Linked DNA regions of Macaca mulatta. The protein of the gene in region 1 purifies or fractionates together with the protein of each later gene. This does not show direct contact. Links are inferred from orthologs where the notes say so. Each region holds a gene or a part of one and is shown in the gene's direction. Other genes may lie near its edges. The genes, in order: ATP1A1, RHOA and HADHB.

Region 1 (3,656 bases):
TTTAAGGTTTAGGACCCTTTCACCCTATGTTAGGGTTAGAGGAGGGTTTGGTCTTGTATCAGCGCTGCCACTGTCTAAAACTTACATTTCTTTTTTTCTTTGATGGAGTCTCAGTCTGTCGCCCCAGCTGGAGTGCAGTGTCATGATCTTGGCTCACTGCAACCTCCGCCTGCTGAGTTCAAGTGATTCTCCTGCCTCAGCCTCCCAAGTAGCTGGTATTACAGGCCTCCACCAACACACCCAGCTAATTTTTAAATTTTTAGTAGAGATGGGGTTTCACCATGTTGGCCAAGCTGGTCTCGAACTACTGACCTCAAGTGATTCGCTCGCCTCAGCCTCCCAAAGTGCTGGGATTACAGGCATGAGCCACCACACCCAGCTAAAACTTGGTTATATTTCAGCATGTCTTATAAAGGTAGGGAAAGAATACAGACAGGCCTGCCCCAAAGATTGTCATGAGCCTCAAATGAGATAAAATATATGAAAATACTCTGTAACCTGTAAAGTACTGAACACTTAATAGCTTTTACATGCTGGGGAAAATTCCTTCTTTGTTTTGTTTACAGAGTGATCTGCATAAGAATATCCCTTCTTGAGGTGATGGACACGTGCTGGTGATGTGATGAGTGACTTTTTTTTTCTTTTGTCCTAATTCTAGGGATGCCAAGGCCTGCGTAGTGCATGGCAGTGATCTAAAGGACATGACCTCCGAGCAGCTGGATGACATTTTGAAGTACCACACTGAGATAGTGTTTGCCAGGACCTCCCCTCAGCAGAAGCTCATCATTGTGGAAGGCTGCCAGAGACAGGTCAGCCAGCACAAGGATCGGGCTGCTTTGGGCACTGTTGGCTTTAGGGATTGGAGTTCCAGTGGAAACACAGCAACGTTGATGGATGCAAACCTCGCTGTATTAGACTCTGTATAAAACAGGCCAGAAGGAAGCTCCCAGGCATAGAGAGGGTGACTTGTTAATGGTTTAGCAGTGACAGAAGCACTTTAAAGTCCAGGTGTCCCACTGTGTCCCAGAGCTTGACCCCTCCGTGGAGTCATCTGATATGGGGTCCTAGTGTTTGCAGTAGACATGTGAGTGGTCAGGAGACTACTGGGCATGCATACAGGAATGGGATTTTCTGGAGTGCCACCCACCAGAGTCATTACTTTGAGTAGCCCTTGTTAATGCCGGGGGCTATGTTTGTTGTCACTTGTCAGTTCTGTTATTTGGTGTAGGGCCTGTGTGAATACTTCCCTATGATGGTTCTCAGGCTTCATAAATAGTCTCAGTAGGAAAGGAGTAGTGTCTGTAATGAGTGCTCAGAGGGGGCATGCGTCGCACTATTTCCATCACTAGAAACAGTGATTGGTATTAACCCATTTTCCCTTTTCTGGGGTAGGGTGCTATTGTGGCTGTGACTGGTGATGGTGTGAATGACTCTCCAGCTTTGAAGAAAGCAGACATTGGGGTTGCTATGGGGATTGCTGGCTCAGATGTGTCCAAGCAAGCTGCTGACATGATACTTTTGGATGACAACTTTGCCTCAATTGTGACTGGAGTAGAGGAAGGTGAGAGCTGTTTAAGGTGTACACCAAGATCTTATTCAGATACTGCCCATTAGCATCCATTTCTGTATATTTCTTGGATATGTTCAGTTTCCAATGTGCTTCTCTCATAAGCTAACAGTAAAAAATCTTGCTTCTTCATAGGTCGTCTGATCTTTGATAACTTGAAGAAATCCATTGCTTATACCTTAACCAGTAACATTCCCGAGATCACCCCCTTCCTGATATTTATTATTGCAAACATTCCACTACCACTGGGGACTGTCACCATCCTCTGCATTGACTTGGGTACTGACATGGTGAGTGTCGCAACAGCCACAGATCAATAGTAGTGAGGTGTGAACTGTGTCTTCATTCACTGGCACTGTGCTCCCGGCATCCATGAGGCTGGTGTTGGGAAAAGAAATTCTCAGGACCAATATCCAGTGTGTGTCCCAATCCCCACATCACAGAATCAGTATTACCGCTCTTCAAGGCAACAGTTAACATCAGATGGGAATCTTTATTTTTGTGTACTTCACCTAAAAGATTTTTAAATGGGAGGGCAAGAATTTTATAACAAAAGGTTCACCATATTAGCTTCCTTATTTTTAGTAATTAAATTCCTTGTCCCCACCCCTTCCCAGGTTCCTGCCATCTCCCTGGCTTATGAGCAGGCTGAGAGTGACATCATGAAGAGACAGCCCAGAAATCCCAAAACAGACAAACTTGTGAATGAGAGGCTGATCAGCATGGCCTATGGGCAGATTGGTAAGCTGCAGCCTGGAGTGGGAAGCTGGCACATCTAAGGCATCTGAGGTGATGGCGTCCTCTTCAGGTTGTGATTTATTTCAGAGACTGCAAATCCAGGGTGACTTTCAGGTCTAGGATGAGCCCTAACAGGGTGAGCCTGTGGAGTTTCTGTAAACTGTCTTCCATGTGAGAATACATCTGTTGCTGTTTGCCCAGTTACCTTTTGTGGAAACTGGTTTTCTCTAGTGAGCACCTTGGAACTGGTCTCAACTCTGCCTGAGAAAAGAGGATGTCCTTCCTCACTGAGCCTTGTGGAACATGAGGCATGGTTCTGAGGAATTGTGTGTGCTGACACACAGGCTGCTTTCCCTGGAGATACACACTTATCTGTCACTCACTTAGATGGAGAGTTAGGCATTGGAGAAAGTATATGTGTTTGAGGGTTTGGCTAGTAGGTCACCACCAAAGGGTGATCCTCCATCCACCTTATGCTGGACTTCCGCCCCCACAATGGAGCATGACTAGCTAACAGGTGGTCTAGGTGGTGGGCAATCAGCATGCCATTTGTTTTTAAATCCTCTGCCTAGGGTTCTTTCAAGAGAACCTGGTGAAGCCACCATGAATGTCTTACTCTCCTGGATTAATGGGTCACATAACTGTGAACACTTGGATAAAGTAGAACAGATTAGAACATTGTGGAAATTATGGCAAAGATTCATTAGACAGTTTTTGGCAACAAAGTGATTGGCTGGTGGCCCATCCTGACCTTCTCCAAGGAGGCCTACTTTTGAGAGGAAGGAAGACTAGGTCTCTGGTGGTATAGGATGAAACCTTGCCCTGAGGAACTTGGAGCAGTGTGGTTAAATTGGATGCCAGGGGAAGAGGGTCCTGAAGGTGTAAAGGAGAGTCAGAAGGTGCCACAGTGGCTAGAAAAATGGCAGCATGTGGGAATTTTGAAAGATGGAAAAGAAGTTATCATTTGTCAGAGATTAAAAAGTAGGGAAGTGGATTTCCCCTAAGGGTCATGCCCTTAGAAGCAGCCGGTCAAGTAACAGAGGTGGGCATTTTGAGAGCAAGGCACATGTGTCTCTGTGTCAGCTCCAAAAAGTGACTCAAAAAGCAGAGGGCCCTGAGATTGGAGTGTACCTCTGGGGTCCTCCATCCCATCCCTCATAGCCTGTGAGTGACCAGGCAGTTCTTCCCTGTGCTTTTATCAACCAGTGGGAAACACTCCTCCATATGTGCTCTCCCAGGCCCGCTGCAGTAATCAGCTAAAGGCTATACAGGTACCGTTGCATGTGAGGTTCTAGTAATTGGGATGTTTTTCCAACTTAGGTATGATCCAGGCCCTGGGCGGCTTCTTTAC
Region 2 (2,460 bases), on another chromosome or scaffold:
TTGGCCGGGCGCAGTGGCTCACTTTGGGAGGCTGAGGCGGGCGGATCACAAGGTCAGGAGGTCGAGACCATCCTGGCGAACACGGTGAAACCCCGTTTCTACTAAAAATACAAAAAATTAGCTGGGTGTGGTGGCGGGCGCCTGTAGTCCCAGCTACTCAGGAGGCTGAGGCAGGAGAATGGCGTGAACCCGGGAGGCAGAGGTTGCAGTGAGCCGAGATTGCGCCACTGTACTCCAGCCTGGGCGACAGAGCCAGACTTTGTCTCAAAAAAAAAAAAAAAGTCTTTTTTTAAGACTGGGCACAGTGGCTCATGCCTGTAATTCCAGCTCTTTGGGAGGCCGGGGTGGGCAGATCACGTGGTCAGGAGTTCGAGACCAGTCTGGCCAAACTGGTGAAACCCCCATCTCTACTAAAAAATTAGCTGGGTGTGGTGGTGGGCACCTGTAGTCCCAGCCACTCAGGAGGCTGAGGCAGGAGAATCGCTTGAACCCAGGAGATGGAGGTTGCAGTGAGCTGAGATCATACCATTGCAGCCCAGCCTGGGCGACTGACAAGAGTAAAACTGTTGCAAAACAAGAAAAAAAAAGTCTTTAAGCTGAATTTGAATACTCTTTACTTACTATATGTATGCCACACTATTAGCTAAAAGGACTGTTTTTTCTTTTTGCTAGGAGCCGGTGAAACCTGAAGAAGGCAGAGATATGGCAAACAGGATTGGTGCTTTTGGGTACATGGAGTGTTCAGCAAAGACCAAAGATGGAGTGAGAGAGGTTTTTGAAATGGCTACGAGAGCTGCTCTGCAAGCTAGACGTGGGAAGAAAAAATCTGGGTGCCTTGTCTTGTGAAACCTTGCTGCAAGCACAGCCCTTATGCGGTTAATTTTGAAGTGCTGTTTATTAATCTTAGTGTATGATTACTGGCCTTTTTCATTTATCTATAATTTACCTAAGATTACAAATCAGAAGTCATCTTGCTACCAGTATTTAGAAGCCAACTATGATTATTAATGATGTCCAACCCGTCTGGCCCACCAGGGTCCTTTTGACACTGCTCTAACAGCCCTCCTCTGCACTCCCACCTGACACACCAGGCGCTAATTCAAGGAATTTCTTAACTTCTTGCTTCTTTCTAGAAAGAGAAACAGTTGGTAACTTTTGTGAATTAGGCTGTAACTACTTTATAACTAACATGTCCTGCCTATTATCTGTCAGCTGCAAGGTACTCTGGTGAGTCACCACTTCAGGGCTTTACTCATTAACAGATTTTGTTGGCATAGCTCTGGGGTGGGCAGTTTTTTGAAAATGGGCTCAACCAGAAAAGCCCAAGTTCATGCAGCTGTGGCAGAGTTACAGTTCTGTGGTTTCATGTTAGTTACCTTATAGTTACTGTGTAATTAGTGCCACTTAATGTATGTTACCAAAAATAAATATATCTACCCCAGACTAGATGTAGTATTTTTTGTATAATTGGATTTCCTAATACTGATATTTGTCATCCCCAAAGAAAGTGTATTGGTTTTTTAAAAAAGAAAGTGTATTTGGAAATAAAGTCAGATGGAAAATTCATTTTTTAAATTCCCGTTTTGTCACTTTTTCTGATAAAAGATGGCCATATTACCCCTTTTCGGCCCCATGTATCTCAGTACCCCTATCTGGAGCTGGGCTAAGTAAATAGGAATTGGTTTCACGCCTGAGGCAATTAGACACTTTGGAAGGTGGCATAACCTGTCTCACCTGGACTTCAGCATCTGGCTCTAATTCACAGTGCTCTTCTCCTCACTGTATCCAGGTTCCCTCCCAGAGGAGCCACCAGTTCTCATAGGTGGCACTCAGTCTCTCTTCTCTCCAGCTGACTAAACTTTTTTTCTGTACCAGTTAATTTTTCCAACTACTAATAGAATAAAGGCAGTTTTCTAAACTTCGTGTATCCTGTTGTTTGTGTTGCTCTCTCCAGGGCTGGGGGCAGGAGGATGCAAGGACTTCCTGGCCTAGCTCACCCTGGAGAGGTTTGTTCAGGGTGCAAAAGACTAGGTTGTGCCCCACCTCCCACCTACCCAGCAGCTAATCTGGTCCCTCCCAACAACATGGAAATGATTACCCTGTACCGCATTCTAGTTCAGATTTGGGGGGAGGGTGAATGCAGCCTACTGAGGAGGCCAGAGAGGGAGGACTCAGGCCGCGTTTCCTTGGCCCTGACGAGCTCTTGGGCTCCACTTCAGGAAGCTGGGGCAGAGCTTCCAGGACTCTGCCCTGTTAGAAAACCCGCGCAAGGGCGGTGCCGCTTTGGAGACAGGGAGGAGGGAGACCGGAAGCCCATATCCCTCTGGCTGTCCCCTGCACTGCCGGTAACATGGCACAGGAGAGGAGGGCTGTTTGCGCACCGGCAGCTGCTGCCGCCGCCCACCAGCCTTCTATGCCGAACCCCACATCCTAATTGAGGAGCCTTTGAGAAAGAAAACG
Region 3 (3,656 bases), on another chromosome or scaffold:
TATCCCTCATTGTTTATTTATTATCAATTTCTCTGACTCTGCAACATAATAAGGGTAGAGGGCATGTCTGTACAGTTTCATTATTTTATCTTTAACATTTAATTAATCAGTACAGAAAAACCAAAGAATGAGTGAAAAGACAGAGTACCTATGTTAAACTCAGTTTGGGGAATACGAAGAAGCTCTTAGTTTAAAAATTAAAGTTTTAAGATATTACTTATTTTTTCTTTTCAGGCCAACATATGCTACTCCAAAAGTTCTAGAAAAGGCAGGATTAACCATGAATGATATTGATGCTTTTGAATTTCATGAAGCTTTCTCGGTAAGTCATTTGAAAGACACATATGAAGGGACTATAGTCATAAAAAATGTCGTCCATATTTGTGGGAGAGAGCAAGGCATGGTTTATGATGTGAGTAGAGCAGGAGTGGACCTATATATTTTAAGTACTGACTCACACTGCTGGGAGGTGCCTGAGGGGAGGGAAGGAATGGCCATACAGTGTTGGAGAACATACCAAATTGTTTCTTTAGGAAATTCTCATTGAAAACTGATACAAAGATTTGTTCAACTTTACTTTTTTTTTTTTGAGACAGAGTCTTGCTCTCTTGCCCCCTCTGGAGTGCAGTGGCGTGATCTCAGCTCACTGCAACCTCCGCCTTCTGGGTTCAAGCAATTTTCTTGTCTCAGCCTCTCGAGTAGCTGGGATTGCAGGTGCCTGCTACCATGCCTGACTCATTTTTTAAATATTTTTAATAGAGATGGGGTTTCACCATATTGGTCAGGCTGGTCTTGAACTCCTGACCTCAGATGATCCACCCACCTCAGCCTCTCAAAGTGCTGGGATTACAGATGTGAGCCACTGCGCCCGTCCAATTTGCTCAACTTTAAAGCATACCTACAAGTTGTTAAACTTTCACAAACCGTGCCCATAAGAAAGCGTAGAGGAACATGAATAACAAGGTTCTTATTCAATTATTTTCTCCTCCAGGGTCAGATTTTGGCAAATTTTAAAGCCATGGATTCTGATTGGTTTGCAGAAAACTACATGGGTAGAAAAACCAAGGTGAGTTTCTGATTTTAAAAAATGCTTGAATTTTCAAACGCGTTAATAATTGGATCTTAGTTACCTGTTCTTAAGAATATGAAGGAAAAGCTTCTCTTTCTTTTGAAGAATTTTGTCTTTCATTAAAGATATTTATTTCTTAGTGTAAAGATAGAAATTCTTGTTTCATTAAATATATTTATTTCTTAGTTTAAAAACAGAAATTAGCAAAATTAAAATTCTGTGTTATCTTTTGTTCCTTGCATTCTGGCATTAGATGAAAAATAAATGGACTCCTGACTTTTAATATTGACCTAGACTTACTTTCTTTTGCAGTAAAATTATTTGTAATATGTCTGACGTTCGGTATTTTCCTTTATCCCTCTTACTTCATAGTACTAAGAGCCTGGCTTGATTCTGATCTTAAGTAAACTTATCTTTACATTTGTGTCTTTGTGGGAGCCAGGTTGGATTGCCTCCTTTGGAGAAGTTTAATAACTGGGGTGGATCTCTGTCTCTGGGACACCCATTTGGAGCCACTGGCTGCAGGTTGGTCATGGCAGCTGCCAACAGATTACGGAAAGAAGGAGGCCAGTATGGCTTAGTGGCTGCCTGCGCAGCTGGAGGGCAGGTACGTTACAGTGGTGTCATAGGACCTTCCAGAGAGTCATTTTCTTGGAATGACTAGAATGTATGATTTAGTTTGAAACCTTCTTAAAGCAATATTTTTGATGACACGGGGGTGGGGAGTGGGGAGGGATAACAGCTTTAATTCTGATAATACTTTTTGTTTTTTGGGTTTTTTTTTTTGAGACAGAGTCTTGCTCTGTTGCCCAGGTTAGAATGCAGTGGTCATATCTTAGCTCACTGCAACCGCCACTTCCTGGATTCAGGTGATTCTCGTTCCTCAGCCTCCCGAGTAGTTTAGATTACAGGCGTGCACCACCGTGTGCAGTTAATTTTTGTATTTTTAGTAGAGACAAGGTTTCGCCATGTTAGCCAGGCTGGTCTCGAATTCCAGACTTCAAGTGATCCACCCACCTTGACCTCCCAAAGTGCTGTGATTATAGGCATGAGCCACCATGCCCTGCCATAATTCTGGTAATTCTTTGGAAGGAAACTGCTATTTAAACCCAAGCTATTTTTCCCGAATATAATGTTTATTTTTTACTTATAAATATATGCTGATTATGAAAATTGTGGAATATATGAAAAGTATATGGAAAAAGTTAGAGTCATCTATAATCTCCCCATCAGACATTATCATTATTAACATCTTGATATATTTTCTTCTTTAATAATAAACTTTTATTTATCTAGTCACCGTTAAGACTTTATGAAATCTCTCCAAGAGAGAAACTGTCTTTCTAGAGAACTGAATTATACCTTAACTGGGGAGTTAATTTACTTCTGGATAACTTACTCCTGTTCAGCTGGGGAAGTATATTGTTGACAGATTTTTTTCCTTTCTACTTCGCTTGCATTACAGACCCAACTTCCTGACTGCTGTAGCATCTCACTCTAGGAATAAAATCCAAAAGGAAGATCGTAGTTTGTTTTTTGTTTGTTTGTTTTTTGAGACAGAGTCTTGCTCTGTCCCCCAGGCTGGAGTGCAGTAGCCCCATCTCGGCTCACTGCAACCTCTGCCTCCCAGGTTCAAGCAATTCTCCTGTCTCAGCCTCCTGAGTATCTGGGATTACAGGTGCTCACCACCAAGCCCAGGTAATTTTTTTGTATTTTTAGTAGAGATGGGGTTTCACCGTATTGGCCAGACTGGTCTCGAACTCCTGATCTCAGGTGATCCGCCTGCTTCAGCCTCCCAAAATGCTGGGATTACAGGCATGAGTCACTGCGCCTGCCCTGTTTTTTTTTTTTTTTTTTTTTTTAATTACAATGTGAACAGATTTTCTCTTCCTCTAGATTACAGAAACTTCCTGTTCCTGATCAAAATGAATAAATATGTAAAAGCATAAACAGGCCGGGCGCAGTGGCTCACACCTGTAATCCCAACAGTTTGGGAGGTTGAGGCGGGTGGATCACTTGAGGTCAGGAGTTCAAGAACAGCCTGGCCAACGTGGTGAAACCTTGCCTCTACTAAAATTACAAAAATTAGCCTAGCATGGTGGTATGCGCCTATAATTCCAGCTACTCGGGAGGCTGAGGCAGGGGAATCACTTGAACCCCGGAGGTGTAGGTTGCAATGAGCCGAGATAGCGCCACTGCACTCCAGCCTGGGTGATAGAGAGGGACTCTGTCTCAAAAATAAATAAAATAAATCTTACATTTAAAAGCCCATTTTCATGAATTTTCATCAGAGACTTTGCAGAAACCAAGGGGTCAGTTATTTATCAGTTGGAACATTTTGGACTTTATGATCAGAAATGTTTTTTAATCTGTGTAACTTCATCTACAGAAAACCATGGTCCATTAAGACTTCAGCTATCCCTCTATCTCTCCATGCCAGACTTCTACCAGGGAGATAACTTGTACACATTACTCACGAGCTTAGTGCGTAATCCACATAGGGTAATGTCTGCAGATTTGAGTATGTGTTCCATAATTCTTTATCTAGCATGTAGAGTATAAATGAGACAATACTGGATGCTTTTAT

The links.
Region 2: the proteins of ATP1A1 (region 1) and RHOA purify together in Homo sapiens (affinity purification with mass spectrometry; 3 studies listed by BioGRID and IntAct, with this or other methods). This does not show direct contact. The link is inferred for Macaca mulatta from reciprocal best matches to the Homo sapiens genes ATP1A1 and RHOA.
Region 3: the proteins of ATP1A1 (region 1) and HADHB fractionate together in Homo sapiens (co-fractionation; 3 studies listed by BioGRID, with this or other methods). This does not show direct contact. The link is inferred for Macaca mulatta from reciprocal best matches to the Homo sapiens genes ATP1A1 and HADHB.

What each region holds. Positions count from the first base shown.
Region 1 is NC_133406.1:123,882,329-123,885,984, reverse strand, and holds part of ATP1A1 (sodium/potassium-transporting ATPase subunit alpha-1), read left to right. Parts: intron 1-658; coding exon 659-809; intron 810-1,392; coding exon 1,393-1,561; intron 1,562-1,702; coding exon 1,703-1,857; intron 1,858-2,184; coding exon 2,185-2,308; intron 2,309-3,625; coding exon 3,626-3,656. UniProt on the Homo sapiens protein: This is the catalytic component of the active enzyme, which catalyzes the hydrolysis of ATP coupled with the exchange of sodium and potassium ions across the plasma membrane.
Region 2 is NC_133407.1:112,801,258-112,803,717, reverse strand, and holds the end of RHOA (transforming protein RhoA), read left to right. Parts: intron 1-462; exon of another isoform or gene 463-672; coding exon 673-846; 3' UTR 847-1,918; downstream 1,919-2,460. UniProt on the Homo sapiens protein: Small GTPase which cycles between an active GTP-bound and an inactive GDP-bound state.
Region 3 is NC_133418.1:98,714,307-98,717,962, reverse strand, and holds part of HADHB (trifunctional enzyme subunit beta, mitochondrial), read left to right. Parts: intron 1-234; coding exon 235-383; intron 384-963; coding exon 964-1,066; intron 1,067-1,511; coding exon 1,512-1,650; coding exon of another isoform or gene 1,651-1,676; intron 1,677-3,656. UniProt on the Homo sapiens protein: Mitochondrial trifunctional enzyme catalyzes the last three of the four reactions of the mitochondrial beta-oxidation pathway.